Linked DNA regions of Saccharomyces cerevisiae S288C. The gene in region 2 interacts genetically with the main gene of each other region. Each region holds a gene or a part of one and is shown on either strand. Other genes may lie near its edges. The genes, in order: ASF1, RPN4, IRE1 and ADD66.

The links.
Region 1: mutations in RPN4 (region 2) and ASF1 together harm fitness more than expected from each alone (negative genetic interaction), as found in Saccharomyces cerevisiae (5 studies listed by BioGRID, with this or other methods).
Region 3: mutations in RPN4 (region 2) and IRE1 together harm fitness more than expected from each alone (negative genetic interaction), as found in Saccharomyces cerevisiae (7 studies listed by BioGRID, with this or other methods).
Region 4: mutations in RPN4 (region 2) and ADD66 impair growth when combined (synthetic growth defect), as found in Saccharomyces cerevisiae (6 studies listed by BioGRID, with this or other methods).

What each region holds. Positions count from the first base shown.
Region 1 is NC_001142.9:191,949-199,606, reverse strand, and holds ASF1 (nucleosome assembly factor ASF1), read right to left. Parts: upstream 3,321-7,658; coding exon 2,481-3,320; downstream 1-2,480. Other genes in the region: YJL114W (gag protein), read right to left, coding at 1,012-1,692; SUN family protein NCA3, read left to right, coding at 4,734-5,747; PHO86 (Pho86p), read right to left, coding at 6,141-7,076; YJL118W (uncharacterized protein), read right to left, coding at 7,309-7,658. UniProt on the Saccharomyces cerevisiae protein: Histone chaperone that facilitates histone deposition and histone exchange and removal during nucleosome assembly and disassembly. Facilitates histone deposition through both replication-dependent and replication-independent chromatin assembly pathways.
Region 2 is NC_001136.10:413,724-418,565, forward strand, and holds RPN4 (stress-regulated transcription factor RPN4), read right to left. Parts: upstream 2,986-4,842; coding exon 1,390-2,985; downstream 1-1,389. Other genes in the region: phosphoglycerate mutase family protein GPM2, read left to right, coding at 230-1,165; oxysterol-binding protein related protein OSH2, read right to left, coding at 3,940-4,842. UniProt on the Saccharomyces cerevisiae protein: Acts as a transcriptional activator of a number of genes encoding proteasomal subunits. Binds to a PACE (proteasome-associated control element) DNA sequence 5'-GGTGGCAAA-3'.
Region 3 is NC_001140.6:255,185-265,202, forward strand, and holds IRE1 (bifunctional endoribonuclease/protein kinase IRE1), read right to left. Parts: upstream 6,408-10,018; coding exon 3,060-6,407; downstream 1-3,059. Other genes in the region: NMD2 (Nmd2p), read right to left, coding at 1-453, 567-572; YHR078W (uncharacterized protein), read left to right, coding at 1,176-2,834; SAE3 (Sae3p), read right to left, coding at 7,008-7,170, 7,257-7,369; LAM4 (Lam4p), read right to left, coding at 7,617-10,018. UniProt on the Saccharomyces cerevisiae protein: Senses unfolded proteins in the lumen of the endoplasmic reticulum via its N-terminal domain which leads to enzyme auto-activation.
Region 4 is NC_001143.9:48,506-55,789, forward strand, and holds ADD66 (Add66p), read right to left. Parts: upstream 1,305-7,284; coding exon 501-1,304; downstream 1-500. Other genes in the region: ER membrane complex subunit EMC3, read left to right, coding at 1-450; Ran GTPase-binding protein LOS1, read left to right, coding at 1,546-4,848; EAP1 (Eap1p), read left to right, coding at 5,199-7,097. UniProt on the Saccharomyces cerevisiae protein: Involved in 20S proteasome assembly. Required for maximal proteasome activity. Affects the chymotrypsin-like activity of the proteasome. Can be degraded by the proteasome. Involved in the endoplasmic reticulum-associated degradation (ERAD).

The DNA.
Region 1 (7,658 bases), on a different chromosome or scaffold from region 2:
TTCTTTTATGAGCATCTTCCAAGGTAATAGACCTTTTATTTAGTTTAAATCCAGGAGAAGAAGTAGGTTTTATTGCATTTATTTTTGAATCATCGGAAGGACGTTCAATTAACTCGTTCATTTTTACGTGAATGACACCATTAACTATCTTGGTTTTAATTTTTATGATTTTGTTTCCCAATCTGGTATATTTTCGACTTAAAACCATTTTGGTTTTCTTGGCTAAGTCATAACAGCTGATTATAGTGGATTCTTCTTCCGGTACATAGTAAGTTAATAGACACTTATTGTCAGTATTGTTGTGACCATTCTTGATTTTTATATAGCCATACCCTTTAACAGACACTGAACTGTTTTTCCCAATACCAAAAAATCGTGTACTGCGATTACTGTCTTCGTAATTATGCAGTAAGGTTTTGTCATTGGTAATGTTTACTCCGGAACCGGTATCAATAATTACCAGTTTTTTGCTGTTGTACACTTTGTTCGACCTTTTTTGTGTCTTGTTCCAAGACTTTTGTTCGTTTTGCACTGGACTTAAGTGGTTGTTGTCTCTGTGCACCTTGTAGATAATAGGTTTTTGAGAAATTGGTCGAGTCAGGCCTAAGTTCCCTATTTGGTTTCTTTTTGCAGTTAATTGAGCAATGGAAAACAGATTTGCAATACATGCAGCTATTTTCTATTTGATCGTCTGCAATTGGGCTCAAATCAATTACTGTTTCAATAACAGTATTGATTAGAAATTCTTCGTGATCAATTCCTACGTCATGTGGAATGTTGTACAAACGTTGTTTCACAGAATTTCTTAAGGATTCATGTAAGGTTCCCATGATAGCTTCTTGTAGGTAATCCTTTAGATTAGGACAATCTTGGCAGCATTTAGAAAAAATCCATTTTTCCATTAGTACCAACTTTTGAAGTTTATTCATTAACAATGCGGAATTTCTACATGTTGTATCAACCAAAACCTTTTCCCAGGCTCTAATTCTGACATCTCTACCATGCAAACTTCTATATTTGTTTTTTTAAACCATCGATTATCCTAAAAATGTCAGTTGTATTTGTGTTCATGATATCTAAACTTTCACCGAGTCCTTCTTTGATTATCTTGCACAAGATTTCATTTTCACGAGGATCGATTTCTATGATATCATTTTCAAAGACATCATCAAATTGATATTTCTTGATGAATTTTTTAAAATTGTTTAAGAGAATAGGAATGTTCTCGACATTATTAGTCCTATAATCAAAAACACAATCCTTAGGGTAGAATCTTTTGTTGGTTGAAGTTAACGTATCGAATAAATAGTAAGTCCCTGTAGCATCTATATGTTCATGTAATATATTATTGTTCTCGTTTGTTTCCAATAATTGTATCTTTTCAACTAGATCCACAATCCTATTCTCAACCTTGTCAATGGTTTCTCCGAGTTTTAATAATTTTTCAGCTAGCATCTGAATATCATCAGCCTCAGAAAGTTTTTCCTCTTCTGCCTTTAAACCATTTAGTATGGTTTTAAACCTATTTAAGTTTCTTTGATATTGTCTCACCTGTTCATCTTTAATAGAAACTTTTCTTAATGATGATGGCGTCTGTCTGACAGTATCATTTGTTTTGACTTTCGATTGAATCCGCGCAGAAATGTTGTCGTCAATAACATTTCTTGTTTCACCCCTCACTGGGGTCGCCATGTTGATAATTAGAGGTTAAAAATTAGTATTAATGAAGAAGTGAGTACTGATCTTCTTATACTAAATAAGAGAGGTATATAAAACACACGCCGATTGGTCATATTAATTATGACCAATATAATAGTGATTCCGGTAGTTACTATACATTGATGTGACGACTCATATTCCTCATATATGTACCTACCATAACATGTTCAACTAATAGGTCTTTAACACAGCTTCAGTATTGTCTGAGCTTCTCGTTTAACATTCCTTCTGCAATAGGCGCAATCACACTTAAACGTATACGAGTTGTACATTAATATACGATGTAAGCATTAGATTGTTACCATAGCAACTCATGTCACTATTAATTACTCTCGTTCCAACATGATAATATAACTATTAGTTGATAGACGATAGTGGATTTTTATTCCAACATGTTCGTTCTGTTATGAAGTTGTTTCATATGTGTTTTATGAACTTTTAGGATGACGTATTGTCATACTGACGTATCTCACTTTGATAAACAACAATATCAATAATATTAGGGCGTGTGGCGTAGTCGGTAGCGCGCTCCCTTAGCATGGGAGAGGTCTCCGGTTCGATTCCGGACTCGTCCAATTTCTTTTTGTTCTCAACGACAATAATAAGAAAATCAACTTAAATGGAAAATATTACTGCCTTTTATTTTTTACGTAGCTGTTGCCCTAACCCGACTTTATCTTATGTCTGTTATTTTTTTATTTATACATTTTATAAAGTGTACCTCTCTTGCAGGTACCATTAATCTTATAACCCATAAATTCTTAATTCGTTGAACGTGCCGCATCCTTTGGAGTGGATTCAATATCCGTGGACCCCCCTTCTATTTTCCTCCTCTTCTTATCATTACCATCTTCATTCTTGTCTACAGACCCCACCTCTTCTTCTCCTTCTTCCTCATCGCCGTCACTATTTTCTATGTCTTCCTCCTCTTCTTCAAGATTCGTTTCGTTGTCTTCAGTCTTCTCTTCCTCCTCTTCTTCCTCCTCTGCCGCTTCTTCCGCCTCTCCCTCTCCATCTTCTTGATCGTCATCTTCGTCGTCTTCATCATCTTCATCGTCATCTTCTTCTTCATCGTCCTCCTCCTCTTCATCATCTACGCCGGGCTGTTCAGGTGGGTATAAATCCCCTTCATTTTCATTATCCCAAACAATGTTAAACCTTGTTACCCTTGGCTTTTCAGCCAGTATATTTCTTACAATATGATCTACTTGTACCTTTGCTGGCGGATTTTCTCTTAACTCTTCTTCATCGTACTCATTATTCACGTAGTAACCGACCCTAACAAACTCTCTCCCGTCATAAGAACAACTTAATAGAATAACAGTCACACTAACCAATTCACTCGCAGGAATCAGCTCGGCGGAGGGAGGGTCAGCAGAAAACACAAATTTATTAACACCTACGGGAACGGGGCCTACCAGAATGGAATCCAATTCCTGGTCATGGTCTAGAGAACGAGAGGACCCAACATAGGTTAGTTTCCACTCTAAGTCATGTTTTAAAGATTCTAAGCATTCAAAAGTGATTTCAAACTCATATGGATCAGTGAACTTTGCCGGGTTGTTTAAGACTTTGATGCCTAACAGTGAAACAATTGACATCTTTTCTATATCTTATGTTTCAATTGGATGGTAGGGAGAGTACGCTGTTACACTTTCGAGATTCTGTGAGCCTCTTACCTGTTTGGAGTTATTCCAAGTGTTAGTATTAAAATTGCAAGATTCATTTTTCCATCGTCGGTTGTACGCCCATTACATGAAAAAGGGAACAGATTTACGCGTTTAGGATGAGAAAAAAAAAAAAAGGAAAAAACGCGTAAATGAAAAGTTCTTTGTAGAACAGCTCTCTCTTAAACACATAGTAACAGCAAAAGACGCCACCAAGACAATATCCTGAAAATCGAAATTCTCGCCAAGGCATTACCATCCCATGTAAGAACGGAATAAAACAGCATTCGAAGGTTAGGTGTGGCACAAAGCCGATAAGAAAAAGAAAAGTAGTGAGGACAGGCTTAATTGAGCTAATTAAGGCGAAAAAAGGAAAAGAACTCGATAGAAAAACTTATTCATGAAGGAGACGTAAAGTCAGGCAAGGCTGCGGCATCATGTCTACTTGTCATAACTCAATTTGCCTATTTCTTACGGCTTCTCATAAAACGTCCCACACTATTCAGGGGAAGGCTACACGGAAACCCCAATAAAGGAAACGAAGAAGTGACCTTAGCCTTCGTCATCCGCGCCCACTACTCTCTTCCTAGTCGCCCGGTTGTTGAAAGTTTAATTGTGGGTTTTCTTTCACGACACACCTCACTGAAAAAAGAAACGAGCGGAGGAATAGTATGATAAATCTTCAGCATAGATGGGTAACGGGATCCCTCTGTGAGGGCCGATTATGCAGGCCTAGACCCGCACGTGACCACTTCGAGAGCAAGTTGCCTGCGAGTTTCTCTGCCCGAGGAAAAAGAAATGGAGGCAATTTACTTAATATGGTATGAGAGGATCTTTTGACGGCAAATAGATGCGCCATCTCCGAGAAAAAATCTAGACAATAACAGCGACAATTAACCTAAAGAGGATAGAAGATCGAGCAAAAAAATTTTTTTAATATGGGGTCAGTGGCGATATTATACTATAGGAGTTAAAGAGTAAGTTGAGTGTAAGGTGGTAGAATTATGATTGAACTCCGAAACTAAGCGCCGATTATGGGTGGCAAAGCGGACAGCTTTTGATATATAATCGATCGCTCTCGTAGTTGATATCCTCTCTCTTGCTTATCTTTTCCTGTATATAGTATATGTGTACATACAGATACGAATATACCTCAGTTAGTTTGTTTTAACATTAAATATTCAACAGTTGCCAGTAGCAAAAAGAATATATCCATTCATTTCGAGCTTTTTCGTCTCATTACTGATATCCAACTAACAGTCTCCTCATAGACGGTACCTTACTTTCCTTTAATATTATAATACTAGTATAGTCGCACATACTTAACTCGTCTCTCTCTAACACATAATGAAAATTTCCGCAGCTTTAATATTGTCTTCCCTTTCTTCTGTCGCATTTTCTGCCCCTGCACCTGCTCCAGCGGACAGTCACCATGAAGATCATCACAAAGATGAAAAACCAGCGGTTGTCACTGTCACTCAATACATAGATTCCAATGCCGCTACTAGTACTGTAGAATCTGCTGCTACTACCACTACATTGTCCTCATCTGAGAAGGATACCTCTGAACAGAAGCGTGATGGCGGATTCCAAGATGGTACTGTCAAATGTTCGGACTTCCCTTCTGTAAACGGTATAGTTTCCTTGGACTGGCTAGGATTTGGTGGATGGGCCTCTGTCATGGACATGGATGCCAACACTTCGTCCGAATGTAAGGATGGCTACTACTGTTCTTATGCATGTGAACCTGGAATGTCAAAGACTCAATGGCCTTCTGACCAACCAAGCGATGGTAAATCTGTTGGTGGTCTTTACTGTAAAAATGGTTACTTGTACCGTACCAACACTGATACCAGCGATTTATGTTCTACGGATGAAACATCTGCTAAGGCCATTAACAAAAAGTCTGACTCCATTGCTCTATGTAGGACGGATTACCCAGGATCAGAAAACATGGTGATTCCCACAGTGGTTGATGGTGGAGATTCACAACCAATTTCAGTCGTTGATGAAGACACTTATTATCAATGGCAGGGTAAAAAGACTTCTGCTCAGTACTATATTAACAACGCCGGTGTATCTGCAGAAGATGGGTGCATTTGGGGTACTTCTGGTTCGGATGTCGGCAACTGGGCTCCACTAGTGTTAGGTGCTGGTTCCACTAATGGAGAAACATACTTGTCGTTGATTCCAAACCCCAACAGTAACCAAGCTGCCAACTTTAACGTTAAAATAGTTGCATCCGATGGCGCTAACGTTCAGGGCAGCTGTGCGTATGAAGATGGCTCTTTCACCGGAGATGGTTCCGATGGTTGCACAGTTTCTGTTTTATCTGGATCTGCTGAATTTGTTTTCTATTAAGTCATTCTTCTTTTCGGTAAAAGAATGTCTTGTATTTTGATACCCTCAATTCCCCTTATTATTCTTTTTCTTCCGCTCTCTATTTATTATTATACATTGGGATTCCGTTATATTTTTCTCCTTTCAGTTCATTTTACTTCTTAAAAAGTTTCGTTGATCGCTATTATGCTATGGATTCAAAGATTTTCTTTTCTCTCTCTTCAAGGTGTACTCTGCATTACGGTTTTCTTTAGTTCGTTTATTTTTTTTTTGTTAACAAGGTGTTTGTATACATATATATAAATATATGGAAATATTATAGTGTTTATTTTGTTACTTCCTGCGAGTTGCAACAGAACTAACAAGATGCCATGCTGTTTTTTTTCATTTTTTGGCTATAAAAATAACAGTATCCTAGTCCTTGTGTTCGGCTTTAAAATGGAATTGCAAACCCCATAATTCCTTCTTCACACCGAACAAACCGCCTAGTAGTCGATTTTCAGAGACTCTAATGCTTTGAATATAAGTGAACCCTTTTTTCTTCAAAATTTCCTTAAGCGTGCTATCGAATGAGTAGACATCAATCAAGAGTTTCATGGTCTCCCCGTATTTGCCGCTGCTTCTAATATTTTTGGAGTGTAGCATAGCCCAATCAATCAAATCTTCGATAATGCCACTTTTTACATATACACGACGACAACCCACAGTAGTAACACTCATGACTAAATTTTCATCAGTACTTAATGTCATGTTAGGGGCTAACGAAATCAATGCAATGGGCGTTTCTCTATAAACGATGATATGCGTATTGTTCACCACTGGATCCTTTGTTTCATGTCTTGCCACCAAATCATTCAAATTGATGCCGAAAACTTTCTCACCTTTAGAACCAACAAGTTGGTTGATCTTCGACTTGAAATACGAGTCAGATACACGTGAGAGGAGGGTGAACAAGAAAGATGCACCAATTGCGGTGAACACTAAACCGCTGAGGACGACCTTCTTATTAATACGAGCCAGCTGGTAGAACCATCCAGCAACGGATCCTGTATTCCTTATCGGAAAGACAATTCTTGGCGTCAAGTAAATAAGCAGCCCAATGGTTAGAACAACAAGGATGACGGGATGGAAGAACAAATACTTATTAGCCAATGCCTGTTCTTGTCTGATGAAATCCGCGGACAAATTCAATGCAGCTGTACCATATTCTGGTTTCAAATTAACACTGTAAATAGTAGGAGGAGCATCAATATCAAGTGGTTTGTCTAATGATGCATCTACTTGTGGGACCGATGGGGCATTTTTATCGGACTTTCTACCCTCTTTCTTCTTTCTTTGTTGAACCGCCATTGTGCCACTCTTCCTACTCTTGTACTTTCGCTATGAAAAAATGTGCAACTGGAAGAGTCGTAATCAATCTAGAAAACTTAGTAAAAGTATGTGCTATATATCTATAAACATGAAAAGCTTTATTTGTGTGAGAGAGAAAAAAAGATGTTCTTTGGTCGTTATTCATTATAGTTTCCATAAAGAGCACGTGCGGGCGCGCTGGGTAATGCGGGTGTGAATTTTCAGTTATAGGTCAACTACAACAGCAGGTCGAGAGGGCTTCTTCAGAAAGCGAGAGGTCGTACCAGGGATGATGTTGCGGGAGCTGCTGTTGCTGCTGCTGATAATGCACCAGTGCAGTTGGACTGGGAAGAGCAAGTGGAACAGCCACCATCTGGATTTCCATTATTGGGTACATATTTGAGAGTGGACGCTCGATGCGATGTGGTCTTCGACGCCTCCGCTTCCTCTTGATGGCTACGATCCTCAGACGAGGCCGTTTGCGTCTCTTAACGTGTGTGTGTTGTATAATGGGAGAACAGGGTTGTCTCTCCTCGGTCTTGCGCTTTTTCACTCGCAATACAGCATGCCCAAGAGTGCAGA
Region 2 (4,842 bases):
CATGTTGTTATCACCCCACGACGAAGATAATACGGAGCTCACCGTTTTCTTTTTTTTTCCCTTTGGCTGAAATTTCCCACCAGAACAAACGTGACAAAATTATCTTTGAATCCAAAGTAGCTTATATATATACGTAGAAGTGTTTCGAGACACACATCCAAATACGAGGTTGTTCAATTTAAACCCAAGAATACATAAAAAAAATATAGATATATTAACTTAGTAAACAATGACTGCAAGCACACCATCCAATGTCATGACATTGTTCTTGTTAAGGCATGGACAAAGTGAATTGAATCACGAGAATATATTCTGTGGTTGGATTGACGCTAAGCTAACCGAAAAAGGTAAAGAACAAGCTCGTCATTCTGCCGAGCTAATCGAACAATATTGTAAAGCTAATAATTTGAGATTACCCCAGATTGGTTACACCTCACGTTTAATTAGGACCCAACAGACCATAGAAACGATGTGTGAAGAATTTAAGTTAAAGCCACAACTGCAGGTTGTTTACGACTTTAATAAAATCAAACTTGGAGACGAATTTGGCAGTGATGACAAGGATAATATGAAAATCCCGATTCTTCAAACTTGGAGGCTAAATGAACGTCATTACGGTTCCTGGCAGGGCCAGAGGAAACCGAATGTTTTAAAAGAATATGGTAAGGATAAATATATGTTCATTAGGAGAGATTACGAGGGTAAGCCACCACCTGTAGATCTTGACCGTGAGATGATTCAACAAGAAAATGAGAAGGGCTCTTCTACTGGGTACGAATTCAAGGAGCCAAACAGACAAATAAAATATGAATTGGAATGCAGCAATCATGACATTGTATTACCGGATTCCGAATCTCTTCGTGAAGTGGTTTATAGATTGAATCCTTTTCTACAAAATGTCATATTAAAATTAGCCAATCAATATGATGAATCTTCATGCCTGATTGTGGGCCATGGAAGTTCAGTGAGATCGCTACTGAAAATTCTGGAGGGTATATCAGATGATGACATCAAGAATGTTGATATTCCAAATGGTATCCCCTTAGTCGTTGAATTAGATAAGAATAATGGTCTTAAGTTTATCAGAAAATTCTACCTAGATCCTGAATCTGCTAAGATCAATGCTGAGAAAGTCCGTAATGAGGGTTTCATAAAAAATCCTTAAGGGGGGTAAGTATATAATATAATTGTGTATTTTCCGAAGTATAATGAAAACCAATAGAAAACTTATTATAAGTCCAATGAGGTACTTTAAAAATGTGATATTTATAAGAACATTCCTGAATGCAGATATATGATATATATTGTAAATATATATAGATGTGTATATGTATTTCCATTTTGTGTGAGGTTTTCTTCTTTTATCTCCTATATAATTTGTAACCTTAATTAACCCATGACATAACCAATATTAGCCTTTGCAAATTTTGTAACTTCTTGACGTTGTTCTAACGACAAATCTTCATGCTTCGATTTTATATGCCTTGTTAAAGCATCCAGTCTCGAAAACGTCTTCTGATAGCCCTCAGATCCAAGAATTTTTATACACTCCGAGCAACGGAAGACAATCTTCCTTTTAGCGTGAATGGTATTTTGGTGTCTCGTTAAATCATAGGACCTTGAAAATTGGGCACCACACGGTTCATTTGTAATGAGATTCATTATCTGACACGTAAATATTTCGTTATTACCGTCAGAAGATGACGTATGGGCCGATGGTGATGCAGTCGAAGGTTTCGAATTCGAATTTGTAGATGAATGTGAAGATAAGTGCTTCTTAGTATAATTAATTAGCTTCCGCCTACTAGCATTTGAGCTTACTACAGCTGATGTAGGCTTCTTTATTCTTTCTAATGTGCCGTTTTCATTACTGTTACTAACGCAACTACGGTTACTGGATGATTTTGCTGGTTTCCTTTTACCGGTAGTAGCAGTAGACGGTACGTTTGCCGAGGTTGAGGGAGATGGAAATCTTTCAAAATCAATAGTGTTTTTATTGAGGACAAAACTTTGCTTTCTTCTGTTCTTCAAGAGAGAGATATCGTAGATATCGTCTTCATCAAGATCATTATCCTCATCCTCATCCTCTATCTTCTCATGTCCCCGTTCATCTAACAGATCTTCAGATACAACACTGGAAATGCTGTCCATGTTAGAGTCAACGTAACTGTACTCATTAAATAAATGACTAGAACTCTTGGCACGACCCGTTTTTTGATCTGAGCCAAACATTGAGATTGGTGTAACATCCAATGACAGTAAAGGCTCCTCTTGGTGTTGCTCTTGTTGCAAACAATTTTCTTCTATTTCATCCTCTTCATCATCACTGATATCGTCGTCATCAGAGTCAAATTCATTGTTAAAAATAGCTCTCGCATCCTCATTGTTTATTGCGGCGCTATTATCTTGAAGTGACCACTGCATTTTCGGATTATAATTATCCTCATAGAAAAGCACTTCTTCATCATTACCATATAGATTGTCACCGTTATCGAAAAAATCGTTGGAAATTTTAACATCATAATTGAACGTATTCCGTGTCGGTACATACGGGTCTGATACTTTCATTATATTCTTTAGATTGACGGTCTTCTGCAATGGGGTTTCGCTAGCACCCTTAATCTCGTTTGGTATGAGATGGACATTATTAATCTGTCTATCGTTGGCCGTTGCTTCACTAGTCGTAAAAGAGGTGGTGGTAGTTAAAGTAGGATCCGCGTATTTGTTGAATATCGGGAAATGGTAGGTTTGTTGTGGGGGTATCGAAGCTGCACTCGATTCATTCTGGTGTTGTAATGAATGATTCCACGTAAAAGTGTTGTTTTCCTTGTTCTTATTCACCAACTTATATGGAGTAATACTAGCATTTGGATGATAGTTTTGATAATGACTCGTAAACTGACTGTGACCTGGATTAGTATGGTACAACTCGTCTTCTAAAATATCCGTTAAGGTTCTTTTTAGGCTAAGTTCCGTAGAAGCCATGATTGCTTGAAAATTCTAGAAAACTTTTGAAAAGATACAAATTAGCTATTAGTACTATCTACTATTAGTTCAACTAAAAAGCGGAGTTCTTCCTTGAGGAGAAAAGGATGAACAAAATGGAACTGATCTACTCCTTAAATATTCCACGCCAAGAAGAAAAAAGAGTTTCGGGTTTATCTTTAATTTATATTAGAGATAAAACGTATCCTCCTCCTTGAACGATAAAAAATTATCCGTGTGGGTTAGGCTGCTCATCCCGGGCTTTCCCCAAATTGGGCTTCGAACTATTCTTTCCTTATATAGAATTGCTCTCCTCAACAAGTTTCGCCGAAACGGAACTTTCTAGAACCATCACTGTAAACGGCTATTAGTAATAGCGATCACGTGATTATCCGTGGAAAGGTTCGTACGGGCTGAGGCACCTTTCTTTGAGTTCCACGGAACTTGTTATTACAGGAACAGAAAGGTAGTAAAAAAAGAAGTAACGTCCTCTCAGTGCATATAGTTTGATCTCTATAACAATCCGTAGTTGGTTTTCTCAACAATTAATATTGAATACGTTAGTGATGATTGGTTTTCAACCTCTGCCGCTAATTTAGGCACAGTTCTATCGCAGCCGTAATGGAGGCATTATATAGCACTTTAGCGTCGTAACGAAGGGTTATGGTAACCGCCTAACGATTTTATTTACTCGCTTGTTGCTTGCTTTGTAATTGGTTATATGGATTTCAAAATAATATGGTCATCTGACCATGGTGACATAACCAAAGTGTTCGAAAAGATAACTAAATTGATACATCTAGGAAAACTGAAGGAAATCCCTATTGTTAAGTAAACATACTATATATGCCAAAAGAAACAAATGTGCGGTAGAATAAAATACAATTCAGTACAATAAAATACATTCAAAATACATACAAGTACCAGGAAAAAAGCTCGCATAAAAAAGGCGTGTTAAAAAATGTCACCACAATCTTTCAAATCATGATCTCTTCTTTTAACCCAATATTTGCCCGTATATCTCCAATATTTAGCTTTTGTGATGGGATGAGTATCCCTGACGAACCATTGTGGGTGATATTCAAGGTTATTTTCCTCCCTTTTTCTGCGTGCTGCTCTTTGCTTTTCTTCAACTCTGAATTTCTCATCACCAGCTTCGTCATAACGCCCATCTTCCATTGCTCTTTGATCTGGTCTCAAACGTGTATCTGTGGGGGGTAACCATGGCAATAGATGTGGTTGTGGAGCATTCAGCGTGATAGCAAAAGGTGTTAAATTGAATGGCTCCTCAGGACGGTCGTTTGCCTTCCATATTAAAAACTTCGTTCCGTCATCCGTAGGCCCATTCCCTGCTGATGCAGCGGTTCTAGTTTTCTCCAACGAGAGATCGCCATCTTTTACTACTTTCTTGGCAAAAATAGCTTCATTCCAGTGTCCTCCTAGGATCCACACCTTCTGTTTTTTCTTGTTGTAGACTTCGCCTGTGATTTCATATGCTCCTGATGACCTCCATCCCCTTGCTTTGAAATACAACTTGCAATGATCACCGGTTGTGTGATTGACAACGTTCACTTCACCGTGGTTATCAACTTGTGGATTACCAATGAGAATACCTATAACAGTATTGTTGGGCTTCTTCCAAGTATACAGTTCCTCTTTTTCATTGTCATTTGGACGCAACTTAATGTGCCATAATCCTAAGTGCTTAACATTGAAAGATCTGCCATTGAATTTAGTATCAACAAATGATTCACCCCAAAAGTCCCATCTTGGTGATTCAGTCCATGTTGCAGATATAGGAGGGTGATGTGAAACCTGCTCGGTGAAAAATCTGTACTGTTTATCTGGTCGAGAATA
Region 3 (10,018 bases), on a different chromosome or scaffold from region 2:
AACTAAATAAAGCTCGGTAAATACCCGAAGATTACCTTTAACTCTGGTTATCCTTTGAAGCTCATCTCTTTCGGATTCAATGTCAACAGAGGGGTTCTCAAAAGCTTGTAAAAAAGCTCCTAAAAGCGGACTAGTAAATCGGCCATTGAACCTTTGATGAAGTCCACTTATGATCTCAACAGCGGCAATTACGTCATCATTTTTATTCAAAACATTTAGCAGACATTCTGTTACCGTCACTATTATCTCTGATAGGTACTTTTCCAAGGACGCCTCACTTAAATCTTTCAATAATGAAGATTCTGAACCTTTCACAAAACCCTTCTTTAGTTTTTTTATAAAGCCAGTGTTTCTCTTTATACTGGAATCCAGTTTTTTACTTTTCAGGGGAAAGACTTCTTCGCCATTCCAAGCTCGGGTGTTCAAATCATGCAATTCTTTTTTCCGTCCATCCTGTTGATACATAATTGTTACCGTAGTTTACAACGATCAATAAAAGAAGTTAGTATAAAACCTTAGAAGTACTGAAAGGCCGATCTGGCCACAGTAAGATAAATCAAACATACGTCCATAATTTCTGTCCAATGTATTATCAATGCAGATACAATATTAGATTATTTAAGCATTTAAGTTGATTGTTACTGTTCATTGTAAAGTAATATGGGCCTCATTAGTTTCTCAAACCTGTATTCGAATGCAGTTTTTCAGTGACTGCCAAGAAAGTGAAAAAAAAAAAAAGAAGCAGGCTCCATCAATTCGTATCAAGTGATAATTATCACATAAATTATATAATTGTAAACCTATTAATAACCCTAATATCATCCTCATGCCCTAAGAAATATTCAATATAACCCCCTAACAATATCATAATATCCCGTAGTGATCATAGAAACGCTATATGATGGTGCATAATTAAGATAAAGGTCATTCAGGCATGAAATAATGAACTTTAGTGAACGACTTAGTCATACAGAGTCTATTTTAGCTTAACCATTCGGTTTTATTTTACAGTCTAGACTCAAACGAGTGAAAAATTGCGATATCTGCGATGACCGAGTCCTGAACAATAAAAATTGACCAGCAGGGAAAGAAAAGGAAAAGATCTCAACTCTGGCGGTTGCCTCCAGGACCTGCACTAGAAAGGACTATTGAGTGTAGACTAAGTGGTGGACGGGATGGAGGCACTTATCGTATTTATAGTGCTTTCCGTATCCGGAGCATTTGCTTACAAATGCTCCTATGAAAGGCTCTGGTTTAAAGTAGGGTCTTTGTTTGACATTATATCAACTTCCTCGAAGAAAAATGTCATTCCGTTGGCAAGCAAAATGGAAGTTGGCTCGAATGAGGATGTGTCTAGTATGGGTAATTTCATAAATAAATTCTACACAGAGTATTCTTTACCCTCACATAAGGTACTGCAATCACTGCGAGTCCTTTTTTCATTAGCAATGATGACGTATACAGTAACCATAGAGATTATTCTATGGCAGATTAAGGTTGCTGGAATGGACAAGGAAGTTACTTTCATAACGACTTGGGTGTGGCCTCTGACTGCAATCATGCTATCCTTCATACTAATTTTATTTCAGCCCTTTTTCATTATAATATCGTTACTGAATAAATTCTACAATGACAAGTTCGATATCGATAGGTTGATAATAGTGACATGCATAATCTTGTCCACACTTATTGCGCTGTTAAGTTACATAAATATTGGACCGTTCCAGTACACAAAAAATATTCTAACTAGATTGTCCATCGGAGGCGTCACAGTCATGGCTTCCCTATCTGGGTTAGCCACTGTTTCTAGTTTATACTACAACTTTTTAGTCATCTGGCACAAGTTTCGTAATACACCAATGTCAGACCCCAGTTTTAGAAACATCAACAACAGCAACAATAACAGTAAATCTCTCTTATGGACAACAGACGCCTATATAGAGGAAAAAATCCAAGATTATGAACACAACATTGAACAAAATGTACAAATATTAAGAAGTTTAGAAGAAGAGGTCGGAGAAAACTCAACTTTTAAAGCAGAGTTGATGGAAAAAATCGCCTGGTATCAACTGGAGCTTGGGAAATTGGAAGCATTATTACAACAGTCCCCTCAGGTACGCACTTTTAAGAAAGCTTTTGAAGTCGGGTTTATCATATACTGTCTTCATAAACTAATAATAACTTTCCTGAAAAGAATCCCCTATATCATATACCACTCGCTCAAATATCCAGATGACTACGATTATGAAAATTTTAGTGAAAATGCAGCATCCGATCCTTTAGCCATTACGATAGCAAATATTTTGGATTTTTCGTTTTTCAGGTTCAATTACCAGCACGATCTCGATTCGTTAACAAAACAGATATCGTTATTTTTGTCAATTTCTCTCTTTCTTTGCTGTCTTTCTGCTGTCAATACCACCATCTCCTACGTTGTGACCCTTTTGCCCATAAAGTTCCAGATTCTTGCACTTTTCGCCATGCAGAATGATGACACTGCTAATGTACTTCCAGAGTACACCAATAACTCTTCCTATAAGGGAAAAAAGAGAAACTATTCTCAGGAACAAAAAGGAATATCTTTGATAAAAAATCTGGTGGTGTCAGAGTTGACTGGCGTCTACGTTTTGGCTACAACGCTAATGGTTAGGTCCCATCTCCCTTTTGAAGTATCACAAAGATTAAAGGAGCTATTGGGTGGAAAGTTTACCGTCCCAAACATTGTCATAGATTCTTGGTTTGATGAAGTCTACGCTTTTGCATGTGTGTTTACCTTTATTTGCATAAGAATTGCAGAACGAAAGCTTTCCACCAAAAAAGTCAGTGTTGAATAACTGGAGTAGTATGTCGATGTTCGATGTTTATGAGATATGTATTTATAAAATTAAATGTCTGTCGGGTAGTTTATGTAGGGATGAGAAAAGTAGTATAGGTTCATGAAGAAGTACAACTTTTTTTCATTTATGCAAGGGCGTAAAAATTATGGATGGTTACTACTAATGATCAAAGTAACATTAATGCAATAATCAACCAAGAAGAAGCAGAGGGGCATGAACATGTTATGAATACAAAAATTCACGTAAAATTTGATCGTCACTTAAATTTTCCTTGACAATCATATAAACACCTATTAATAGGTTTGGAAAACGCTTGGTGAAGTAATCGTAAAATCCATCGGGTACCGGCCCCATTAGTTCTGCTATATCTTCAGGTAAATCCATAAAATGATGATATTTATTCCTAAGTGCTCTTAATAGATCCATTAACTTTGATGAATGGTATTTTCTGTACCTTTCAAGGTTGTCCATGAATGTTTTATCAAACTTGACAGTCCAATCTCCACTGGGTATTACAAAGTCAGAACCGGCGTCAAATTTCATTAACAGGGCACTTGGAGGGTCTCTGTTTTCAATTTCAAGCCTATCACTAACTTTTAAAAGGAACTCCAATTTTTTCGACTTTGGCCAAAACAACGGATGCCTTAGAACTTTCATAGCAGTAGGTCTTTTTAACGGATCGTGATCAATCATTTGGGAGATCAGATCTGTAGCTTCTGCAATTAAGGATCTATCATGTAGACATTTCATTTCATCAAGACTGAATATTCCTCTTATGATATTGCTTTCACGTGAATATTTATCTCCAAATGGATGCTTCCCTTTGGATAGGATATAATAGAATACACATCCCATAGAAAAAATATCAATAGATCTTGTTAGCCTCCTCTTGGTGAACGGATCATAAAAAGAATCAGATGAAACTACTGTATGCCTACTAGAAGAGTGTTCCGTTTCGACTTGGCACTGCAAATTGTTTGATTCTTCAAGCAGCTCTGGGGCCCTCCAACCACTTGTGCCAGAAGGGTTATTCAAATTTGTTCTAAATGAAGACTGACCAGAGTCTAGTTTTTTGCAAAGACCAAAGTCTGATATCAAAATTCGAAGATTTTCTGCTCCTGTTTGCTGATCGGCAGTAAACCTACTCGAAGTAGAAACGAGAATATTTTGAGGCTTTAAATCTCGATGGATAATCTTTAAAGAATGTAAATGTGCTACCCCGGACGCTATTTGTCTCAATAACGAAATTGGATTATACTCTTTCTGTAATTTCAGGTTTTCATCTGATACATTCTTAGACTCCACCAAATCTTGAAGGTTCAAATTGCAGAGCTCTAAAGCAATATACAAAAATCTGTCTGTTGTTTCTGAACAGTAGTATCGTATGACGTTAGGGTGATCATCGCTTTCAGTCAAAAGTTTTATTTCCATTAAAGCTATGTCACAAAAATCAATTAACATTCTCTTTACCGCAACAGGTCTTCCTTGAAAACTTCCCTGAAAAACTACTGTTCCTGATGAACCGTAACCTAAAATTTTTTCGGATACTACCAAATTTTTTAAAGATTGCTCAAAGTTTGGTATATTTGCAATGCGTGATTTTCGGCCCTTTTTGCCTCCTCTCGAACCTCTTTTCCTCTTCTTCTTTTCTGTGGTTAAATCTAGTGATTTTTCATCATCTTCATCAGCATCATCGTTATCTTTTTCAGATTTTAGACTTCCATCGTTCACAGCACCTTCAAAAACAACTTGCTTCCCTGATTTCATATCGAATGGCTTGGTTACATTTTCCGATGAAGAGGGACAATTTAGCGATTTCGACTCAACTATGGGGATTTCCTTTTCAGGCATAAATCCAATTTTGGATAATAATACATATAGTGGCGGCAAAATTTTGAATCTTTGTAGTATTGCACAAAAAATGAGAAATAACAACAGAAATACTCCAGTCTCTATAATTCGATATACTAGACTTCCAAACTTCAGTAGCAAAGAATTTTGGTTCTTTTCATCTAATTCTCTCGATATTTGCTCGTGTATCTTTTTTCTATATGCCTCAAGGTCTTCTGGTGACATGTATTCCTTTAGTGAATTCATCTCGTTATTCTGATGTAAATCGGTTGTATCAACGGACGAATCAATCATCAGAGGTGGATATTTGTGCGTAGTGTCCAAACTATTCGTTTTTTCATAGTTTTCATAAAGGTGATCATATTCATTATTATATATCTGATGAACACCCATGATTGCGTTCTTGAATAAAGTCTCATCTTCAAAAATTGAAGACACCCTCCAACGGTCACTGGAAGCGTATCTTGATATGGGAGCTGATTCGACTAAAGATGGAAAATTCTGACTAGATAATGCAAACCAGGAGAGGTTCGAAGTCTGATCCAAGTAAACTTTGTTACTCGATATACTTTCATGATCACCAGGATTAAAGGGATGCGGTACCAGTATATTTTCATTGGTGCGGAGATCATTAAACACATCGAAAAGCCCAACAATAATTCCGGGGAATGTCGGAGAAACCCATCTAGCAATTCTAAAATCTAAATCGCTTGCTAGCAATGATTTATCACGGAAAGGCGCTATGCACATGCCGTCCTTTGAAAATGTATTCTGAAGCGCTAGGGGAACATCTAAAACATTTTGCTGCCATGTAGAGTAAGTGACATTGTAGCTTGCTCCATCATAAGAGTGAATTCCCAGCTCAAAAATAGTTTTGCCTATTACAATCATATTTTCACATTCCTGAAGTTTTATCTTCTCCTCAGGTGAGCAATCCACACTCTGGCTCCCGAAATACCCGTTTTTTGAACCAGGTCCGAACGCTGATATAATTTCACCATTCAACATGTTTATAGTATACATTATAGTTCTCATCGATCCAGTGTAGACCTTTTCATCTTCAACAATTTTTCCAGAGTCATTAACCACAATATTTGTTTTCAAGTGCAGCGGGGAAGTTGATACAAGTTGTCGTATGGATAAAGGCAGTTTTTGTAACCCTTGATGGGCGTTAAAGTAGTAAATGTTCCCATCACCGAAAGGTTCTATAATCAACGTTTCATATGTTTCTAACCTCGAAGGTTCTTGTATTTCTATCAGAGGTTGAAAATTTTCTGGTTCGATTGACCATATGATATGACCATTTCTTCTATCTACAGCATGAAGTCCACCCTCAACGTCGGCTGCGATTAGTATATCTGATAAACTCAGTTCGTTCAAGGAACGATTCTCCAAATAGGGTACACTTATAGAATTGGCAGCCCTACGTCCTTTTTTGTTAGCACGTCGATTATCAGCAGTATTCAATAAGTTAGGAGTTGGATATGAGCTGAGTTTCATATTTGGTAAACCTTCAGTGGTTCTTGGAGCAGGAATGGGCGAGTTTATATTTTTATCCACACCATAGTTGAAATTGAGCTTTTTAGTGGAGGCAACTTCATCTTCCACTATCTGCCGCCTTGAGGTGCGAGACGACAATGGGATTGAGCATGAAATGATGGATGAAAACACACAAACGAGCAGTGTCAATACTAACATGTTTCTTCGAAGTAGACGCATTTTTCAAAGTGCTAAAATATTAATTCCTCAGATATGCTGTTTTTTTAATGTGTATGAAGGGTGATATGGAGAAAAGTGATAATGGACGTGGGGAAGAGGAAAACGATGCTTTGTGAATGAGAAAAAAAAGTTACTTAGCAGATTACCGATTATTAACAGTGCCAGTTATAGTGTAGATTTAATTGTGTAAAATTAATATTGTTATAGACTTTTCACTGTTAGTTTATGTGAAGTTGGCTCATTGATCTCCTATGATATGTTTTTCGTTTATTTCTTGTTACTATGTGATTAATCTCTTTTTTTAAATTTTATTGTTGGAATAGTCGAAGGTATTGCCCGAAGAGGCTTACGCTCCGTCTTGATTTTCGGCAATAAAATAGCGAAAACCTATTATATAACAGAGGGTAATAAAACCTCAAAACTACAACTATCAATATATTTCACACTACGCAGCTTAATTAGTAACTGTATAATAGCATTTAAGTTCATTACTTCTTTGTAATTTTATCTTTTTTTTTTTTTATATAGTTTTCAGCGCGCAGCAGAGTTTCATTGGAACGCTTCGCACGTTGGAAGAATAGAACTGTCCCTAAAAGCCCATTAGTCCTTCATTGAATAACCGATCTCTTCAAAAACATCCTTAATTTTGCATTGCTTTTCATCAGCAATTATTTGGGCCAACCTTAAACCGGCATCTCTCAATTCGTTGTACTCCTTTAACTCTTTAATGTACGTCGAGGAAATTTTTTTTGGTGTCTCATCACTTTGACAAGTTCTGTTAATAACAGAAACTAAATATTTTTTGTTTGTTATACCGATTTTTGCCGACTGGAAAAAATAGCTACATACTTTTTCTTTTCTTTAGACAATTGCTCAAACATCTTTATCAGGTTGCCATTCATACTTTCGTATTCCTGTATCTGTTTTTGCTTTTTATTTAACTGTGTTTCCAAATAGTTCATACTTGCAAGTTGTCTTCTGTTTATGGCAAGGATAAGACCATTGCTTTTAATTTAAAATTATTCTTATACTCTGTCTTTGCATTTATGAAGCAGAAATAGAATAGCCGCCATTAGGCAGAACAATTCCGTCTGATGTGATAATGCAAAGTGTGCCTGTCATCTAACTTAAAAGGAATCAGGCCAACCGCTACAGGATATGTACTAGATACAATTACTAAATAATACAAACAGAATATATAAAATGCTATTAAGATAGATCATTTGCGTCCCTCTCAATGTTGTCCAACATAGTTTTCATATGATTTAGTTGCATTTCTGTTATTTTGATACTTTCTGATAATTGCTGCAATTTGTGTTCGTCATCGTTTCTCAACATAGCACGACCTCGAGGTGATATTGCACTCCCTCTGTTACTGATCCAATCCCAAATATCGCTTTCCCTTCCTACAATAGGACTCTTATCCCTTGCGTAATTTACATTTTCTCTCTTCTTCTTAGATGATATGGCGTTTTCATATGAGTTATACAGTGTGCCGAAACTGGGCACGTAATTATATTCTTGACCATCAATCAGCAGCCTTCCTGGCTTGATGATTTGAAGATTATTTTTTTCTTGAAACACGTGAAGCCGAGGAGACCAGAAAAGCATAATGGTCAACCCCAAGATCAAGAATAGTTTTTGAGGACTCAGCAATTTGTTCATAAAAATTTCTGAACTAAAATTATTCTGAACGAAATCCAAAATATGAGTTAAAATGTCTTTATTATCATCGCTCTTACGGCTTTCGGAACTTTTCTGTTCAACCTTACTATGGAAAGGCCTATGTTTATCATGACTCTTCATTACTTTCTTCACCGGTTTTTTGCTTTTTGCCCTGCTAATAATGTCTCTTAACTCGGATAGCATGTAATCGACAGAAACCTTCTGACCCTCAACAGATCCTTTCTCAATTGCACCTTTCAAAAATGATTTACTTGTCCAGTTGATTTTTGTTATAACGGTCATATTCGTGGTGTCATGCTGCCCCCAGAATAGAAAGATTTTACTTTCTACTGCAAAATTGCTACCAGAGGGGACGTCTGGAGTTTTAGTTGTTTGTGTCACCAAAACATAGTTATTGATATCCATGTGTTCAATAGACTCGGTTAGTAAACATTTTGTTTGCTTAGGTCCGATAGAATTGTTCAATTTCTTCGTGTACTCATAGTGTCTTGAACCTCCTTCAACCAACGAAGGCGTGAATTTTGGTATCGTTTCCACATTGACATTATTCTTATCTCTAGTGATAACTTTCTGCATATACTCTGTATTCGATCCAAATAGCAATTGGACCACGGTCCCTAATGGAGCTGGTATATTCTCATTTTCCCTTATAATAGAGTCATCCTTATCCTTTTGAATATCAGGCTCGGTAGGTGCATGTGAGCTAGGTTCCATTTTCGGTAAAGTTGATACTGTAACAGTGTTCTCCTTCGAAGACCTTTTCCTTTTGGTAGCAGATCTTGTTAAAATATTACCAAGCTCCTCCACCAATATCTTTGTTGCATCCGTTACACCATCAAATGTACCCTTTTCAATAGGACTTTTGATCAAGCTTTTACCTGTCCATTCAACAGAGACATACAGTTTTAGTTTTGTTTCATTGTTGTTTGCCCATGATAAAAGATAAACTGTTCTCACATAAAATGAATTTCCAGAAGGAACATCCGGAGTTTTTGTTGTTTGCAAGACTTGAACATACTCCTCTAAGTTAAAGTGTTGAATGGTTTCAGTTATCATGCATTTAGTTTTACCGGGTCCAATGGCACCTGGTGTTGTTTTTACGTAGGAATAATCTCTCTTTTTACCTTCAGAAACCGTGGGTGAATCAACGAGAACAGGGATTGGCGAAATATCACTATTCTTTTGCGCTTTTAAAATGGCCATAATATAACTGACATCTTTCCCGAATAATATATTGACAACCCGCCCTAACGAAGCGTGTATTGTTGATTCGTTAACTAATTTTTCATTGGGCGCTGGTTTGTATACTGTTTCTGTGGGTGAGTGAATTTTTGGACCTAGTGGTGGAATTCCTGTTCCATAAGGGGTGTCTGTTTGTAGAGGCATGGGTAAATCTTCCGGCTTTCCTATGCTGACGCTTGATGTCATGTCGGTAGAATCAGATATGTTATTGCTATTATCGTAAAGATCGTCATCATCATCTCCATAATCATCGTAATCATCATCGTAATCGTCATTTTCATCATCACTGATAGAATTGGAGCTGCTATTAGTGTTATTACTGTTGCTACGAAACCTCTTTCCCAAAATTATTTGATTCCATACTTCAGTAATTAAATCATATGTAGCATCTCTTGAAGTGAAAGAGGCAAACGTGTATTTTGTGTGTAAAGTGTCTATAACGATCCCATTAGGGAATATTCCTGCTGTGGCCCTTTTCTCTATTTGAACGATTGTCTTGAACGGTATAAAAACGGTACTTACCCAACCAAGGATGTTCGAATAAAATCCAATATGTTGATCAGAAATATACATTCTGCCTTGCAAAAGGATATCTCTTGACAAAGCACAACTATGGTCTAAAATCAACCTTTCATTGGGGCTGACACCAGAGTCCTTGAATATTGCATGGAATTCTGCATCTT
Region 4 (7,284 bases), on a different chromosome or scaffold from region 2:
CCCTTCAACGATCCAAGTATGTCTAATGCTATGATGAACATGGCTAAGGGTAATATGGCCAGTTTCATCCCTCAAACTATTATTATGTGGTGGGTGAACCATTTTTTTGCTGGATTTATTCTTATGCAACTACCTTTCCCTTTGACTGCCAAATTCAAAGAGATGTTACAGACCGGTATTATCTGTCAGGACCTGGATGTGAGATGGGTTAGCTCCATTTCATGGTATTTTATTTCTGTGCTCGGGCTAAATCCAGTCTACAACCTGATTGGGTTAAACGATCAGGACATGGGTATTCAGGCCGGGATAGGTGGCCCTCAGGGCCCCCAAGGCCCTCCACAATCACAGGTTGACAAAGCAATGCATGCGATGGCTAACGATTTGACTATCATTCAGCATGAGACTTGTCTTGATAACGTTGAGCAAAGGGTTTTGAAACAGTATATGTAAGTTCGTGGCTATATATGCACTTGTATAGAAAACAGATATACTTCTCGGTTTCAATTGTATAAATCTACAAATTTATCTCTTGCATCCGCCATTCCGTATGCACCTTGCCATGATATAGGCCTGACAAACTTTACAATTGGTGGCGCGTTTTTGATAACTTTTTGAGAGATTATCCATTGTAAGAACTGTTGAGAATCTAATGAGTTGTCCCCCTCATTGGCCAAACAACTACAGTACTTAATGCTGCGGAGGGCTTTAGGCCTCTGCGACGCATTCAGTATTTGGAAAAGTATTTTGAAGATCGGCTGATCAACGGATATCTTGTCTTGGAAACTGGTAGGAGTAAAATGTAACCAGTTATTGACCATCGACTCTTGATCGTTTAGATGGAGGTTCGATAAAAGCTCAGCTTCATCGTCGAAATAAAACTCTCCGAGCGAATATACCTCCTGTGGACGTACAATCACACCATTTTCATCCTCCATTGCATATAGAGAGTCCCAAATGCATATTTCCGATATATTATACTTGCTCAAGAACGGCAAGATGATCTCTACGATGAAATTATTCAGATAGTTAACGGACACGAGTGGTGTTCGTTGCTGTATGGCAAAAAGTCCTCGCTTCTTATTGTAGAAAACTTCCAAAGCGCTGCTATACTTCATATCAGCGTCTTTATATAGCGAGTCGCTACCATCCTCTGGTCTGTCTAATGGTCCCACAAATTCCACTAGGTATTTCGAATCTAACGCCTCCAAATATTCCCATTCATTTGCTTGTGAATTCAGCAGCCAGTCAATACTCAATTGTGGTATATTCCCTACGCTTACTAATGGCAACACCAGGCAGCTCATCGTATGTTCCTTTGGGTTTTGTGCTATTCTTTCCTGAAGTTTTAATTTAATTTCCTTATTTTAGTGTAGGTGGCTTTTTTTTTAGCAGGTTACTCATTGTGGGATCATTTTCAGGCTCAAAGCGAAAAATTGAAAAATTAGCTAACAAAAAAAAACTAAAATTTTTTCAAATTCCATCAGTTAGTTTGAGAAGTTGTCGGTAAGCAACCTATAGAACAAGTGTTTCCAGTCAAATCGAGGAATGCTAGAACGGATTCAGCAGCTGGTAAATGCAGTGAACGATCCACGCTCAGATGTGGCCACTAAGAGACAAGCCATCGAGCTGCTAAATGGGATTAAATCATCAGAGAATGCATTGGAAATCTTTATATCATTGGTCATCAACGAGAATTCAAATGATTTGTTGAAGTTTTACGGACTGTCCACATTGATAGAATTGATGACGGAGGGCGTGAACGCTAATCCAAATGGTTTGAATCTGGTAAAGTTTGAAATAACCAAATGGCTCAAATTTCAAGTTTTGGGCAATAAGCAAACTAAGCTGCCTGACTTTTTAATGAATAAGATTTCTGAAGTGCTGACTACTTTGTTTATGTTAATGTACAGTGATTGTAATGGAAACCAGTGGAACAGTTTTTTTGACGATCTGATGAGTCTATTCCAAGTGGATTCGGCTATTTCCAATACGAGCCCGTCTACCGATGGTAACATTCTTCTAGGTCTTGAATTTTTTAACAAGCTCTGTTTGATGATTAATTCGGAGATTGCTGACCAAAGCTTTATTAGGTCTAAGGAATCTCAGTTAAAAAATAACAATATAAAAGATTGGATGCGTGATAACGATATCATGAAATTGAGTAATGTGTGGTTTCAGTGTTTAAAACTGGACGAACAAATTGTGTCACAATGTCCCGGATTGATCAATTCTACCTTGGATTGTATTGGGAGTTTTATCTCATGGATCGATATTAATTTAATTATTGATGCAAATAATTATTATCTGCAATTAATCTATAAATTTTTAAATCTTAAAGAAACCAAAATTTCATGTTATAATTGCATACTGGCCATCATCTCTAAAAAAATGAAACCAATGGACAAACTGGCTTTTCTGAATATGATCAATTTGACCAACGAATTGACTTACTATCATCAAGCCATATCAATGAATCCCCAAATTATTACATTTGATAATTTAGAAGTCTGGGAAAGTTTGACCAAGTTGATTACTTCCTTTGGCATAGAATTTACTATCATTATTGAACAAGTCAACGATGATCAAAAATTGGATACATTATACAAACAATCGGTCATTTCAAATGTTGATTCCATATTATTGGAGAAAATAATACCAATACTTTTGGAATTTATGAATAATGAGTTTGATTCAATAACAGCAAAAACCTTCCCATTCTGGTCAAATTATCTGGCTTTCTTGAAAAAATATAAAGCATCTTCACCAAATTTTGTACCATTGCATAAGGATTTTCTAGATAATTTCCAACAAATTTGCTTTAAAAGAATGAAGTTTTCAGACGACGAGGTCACACAGGATGATTTTGAGGAATTCAACGAAACCGTAAGATTTAAATTAAAAAATTTCCAGGAGATCATCGTGGTAATTGACCCAAGTCTGTTTTTAAATAACATTTCTCAAGAAATTTCAGCAAACCTAATGAATTGTAAAAACGAAAGCTGGCAAATTTTCGAGCTAACTATTTATCAAATCTTCAATTTAAGTGAATGTACCAAGAACAACTATTTCGGTTTGAACAAGAATGAAATTATGACCTCACAACCTTCGCTAACTTTAGTACGATTTTTAAATGAATTGTTAATGATGAAGGATTTCTTATTAGCCATTGATAACGAACAAATCCAAATACTATTCATGGAATTAATTGTGAAAAACTACAATTTCATATTTTCAACTAGTGCTAACACAGCAAATGCTACTGATGATGATGAAAAGTATCTATTAATATTGAATATTTTCATGAGCTCATTTGCTATGTTCAATAAAAGAGAAAACGTCAGACTAAGGTCATGGTATTTATTTACAAGATTCTTGAAGTTGACAAGAATCAATTTGAAAAAAATCCTCTTTGCCAACAAAAATTTGGTTAATGAAATAACTAATAAGATAAGTCCTCTACTTCACATAAAAGTAACATCTATCAACGCCCAAGGGACGGATGACAATGATACAATTTTTGATAATCAGTTGTACATATTTGAGGGTATTGGGTTTATAATCACATTGAATAATAGCAGTCAGGAGCTCACTGCTGCCACTGCCAACACCCCCATCGATTACGATATATTGGACCAGATATTAACTCCGCTATTTACACAATTAGAGGGTTGTATTACCCAAGGAGCTTCGCCAGTTGTGATTCTGGAATGTCATCACATTCTTATGGCTATTGGTACTTTAGCGAGAGGTTTGCACATTGGTCTCGTCCCTGAGAATCAGGTCAACAATATGGTTGTCAACAAAAAATTAATCAATGACTCTTTAATCCATAAATTCTCTAATATAGCTGAGGTTATATTAGTAACATTCTCTTTTTTCAATAAGTTCGAAAATATCCGCGATGCATCTAGGTTTACCTTTGCCAGGTTAATTCCAATTTTAAGTAATAAAATTTTACCATTTATCAATAAATTGATTGAATTGATCTTATCGTCCACAGATTTAAAATCATGGGAGATGATTGATTTTCTTGGGTTCTTATCTCAACTGATTCATATGTTTCACACGGACACAGACTGTTATCAGCTGTTTAACCAGTTACTTACTCCGCTTATCAACAAAGTCCATTCTATTATCGAAGAGATTGATGAACAACACGACCAACAATCAAGCAGTAACAAACCTATAGACACTGCAGTCACAGCCACCTCCGTAAATAAGAATATCGTGGTCACCGATTCGTATAGAGATAAAATACTATTGAAAAAGGCTTACTGCACATTTTTACAGTCATTTACTAATAATTCCGTCACTTCGATACTATTGTCAGATATAAACAGAGCAATCCTGCCGGTCATATTAAACGATTTGGTCACCTATACGCCGCAAGAGATCCAGGAAACATCAATGATGAAAGTGTCACTCAATGTATTGTGCAATTTTATCAAATGTTTTGGGAATGGGACCTGCTTGGATAATGACGACATCAATAAAGATCCCAACCTTAAAATAGATGGTCTCAACGAATACTTCATCATGAAATGTGTCCCAATAATCTTTGAAATTCCGTTCAATCCAATATACAAGTTCAATATCAAAGAAGGGAATTTCAAAACAATGGCATATGATTTGGCAAGATTACTGAGGGAGCTATTTATCGTCAGCAGCAACCCCACCACAAATGAGAATGAATGTGTAAAATATTTAACTCAGATCTACCTTCCACAAATCCAATTACCACAGGAATTGACGATTCAGTTGGTTAATATGTTAACCACAATGGGTCAAAAGCAATTCGAAAAATGGTTTGTAGATAATTTCATTTCTGTTTTAAAGCAAGGTCAATAGCTTTCAGGCGCAGAAAACCTGAAAATAAAAAAAAAATGCAAAACGAGAGTAAAAGTTGTAATTATATTTATACTAATATTTAAATTGGTAATATGTAATTAGACTTATCATTCACTTTGGTTTAGCAGCTAGTCATGTAATGGCACTAAAAGTGCTTCTTTATCTATTATTTATACGTGACATACCATTACTTCTATGTATTACGTAAAGAATGACAAACGTTTAGTTTTTTTAATTTCAAAGAAATCGTTGGAAGGTTCAAAAAGGATCAGGTGAGATATTAGAGTATATGAATGTTTCAGTCTCTAAGCTACACAAAGAACTAGCATAGTAGGACTTTAACCCATACAATGGAACTCAACGACCCTTCAATTATATCAAGCAGCCAGTTTTCAGGTGAATTGTCTGACAGCGATACTGCAGCCGCTACTCACAAATCGCAACAAGCCATCTCAAATTTATTCCAAAAATTAGCCAAAAAGGGCAGAGAAGAGAAGCCAATCGGTAGCGTAGAATCTTCAACTGATAGCTCTAACATTTCTGTTGCTACGAGCGGTAACAATAAAGAAAGCAATAAAAAAAAAAATAAGAAAACGGCCATGCTAAATTTCAGCAGTTTGACGGACCCTATAACGAACTACAAACCAATGGATCTGCAATACAAGACATATGCATACTCCATGAATGAACTTTATCATTTGAAACCATCTTTGGCAAGTGCTTCGTACGAAGAAGACCCACTTATTTCGGAACTTGTGAGGAGTTTACCCAAAAGAAAGTTTTGGCGATTGCGCATGGGACCTCCAGATCAAAAGCATGCTAATAACCATCATTTTAATGGGAACAATGGTGGAGGCAGTTGGAAGGCTGGTTACAAGAATGGGAAAAACGATGAGAGAAGAATGAGTAGAACCAAAAACATGCAGGGAGGCAAACGAAGATCTCAACAAGATGATGAAGAAAAAAAGATTGACCAAGAAATGCTGGAGATGGACAAGAATCTTCAATTAGGAGGTGACGTCGGCCATTCAATTGCAGATTTTGAAGATTGGAAGGCAAAGATGAAAGAATTAGAATTGAAAAAACTTTCAAAATCTAAAGGAATCAGTAACTCTACCGCAATTGCTCCCAGGGAAAGCGCCTCTCATGAAACACCCACCGATTTAAGACCGGTCATTCCAAGGGGCCCTAGTTCAATAACAGATTTTTTGAATTTAAAGAGGCAAGATAAGAAGGAAGAATCTTCACAACAAACACCTGGTATTCCTGTTGGACAGCCAAGCCTATCCAAAACCAGTATAGAACAAGTTAACGAATTAGAAACTAATTCAGATTTGGGTAAAAGTTCATCATCTCGGTTTTCATCATTTTTCAATAAATCTGCCACTTCGTTGCCTTCATTAGATAATAATAATCAAGTGCCATCGTCAAACGTGTCTGTAGTAAACAACGATGGCAACAGTACACCTCATCAAAGTGGTTCAAGACTGATGTCGTTTTTCAAAGAATCTAGATCGAGCACTCCAAATGCAGAATCGCAGTTGTTATCAGCCTCAGACAAAGATAATGGAAAGATGCAGACTCTTCCGCAATTCCAGCAGCAACCGCAACAAATGCAACCAATGGCATTTACCCAGCATCCTCCTAATAACAACGCATTTTTCAATGGGCTATTGAATAAAGGTAAAAGTGAAACTAGTACTCCTCCTCCTCCACCCCCAGGACTAATTGCTCATCAGGGTCCACAATTTCCTGTGATGGGTGTACCACCAAATTTTCCACAACGCATGATGCCACCGCCACCAGGTCTCGTTCAATTCCAGAAAGATTCTAAAGATGTAAATAAGAAGGAAGACAGGCAATTAAGGCAAAATAAAAATCCAAACGGAACAAGAAATAGCAAGGGAAAACAAGAGGAAACAGCAACGCCAGATCTGCCTCAACAGCAATACATGCCACCACCCCCACCTCCAGGGTTTTTTCCAATGCATCCTAACTTTCCTAACGGCCCAATGCCACCATTACCACAGGGGTTCCCAATCCCACCAAATGGTATGTTACCGGTAACAGGACAACAGCCACAGCCACCTTATCCAAATATGATGCTACAAGGAAATTTCCCCCCTAATTTCCAGCAAGGTTTTGGTAGTAACTCCCCTATGCCAATTCCATCTATTATTAATGCCAATGGCAAAAATGTTACAAACCAGTTACCACCAGGATTAAACTCTAAAAAGAATATAAAATGAGATGCGTAACGAGCGAGTACTTGACAGGAAACGACAAAAACACAGTGAACATACTATCTAAAAGCATGTTCTTTTCCTTTTCATTTTTCATCTTTATTATCTAGAGTTTGTATATAACATGTATCCTATATTATCTTATCCTATCATCATCACTTAACTTGTTATAATTCTCCCATATACTTATGTT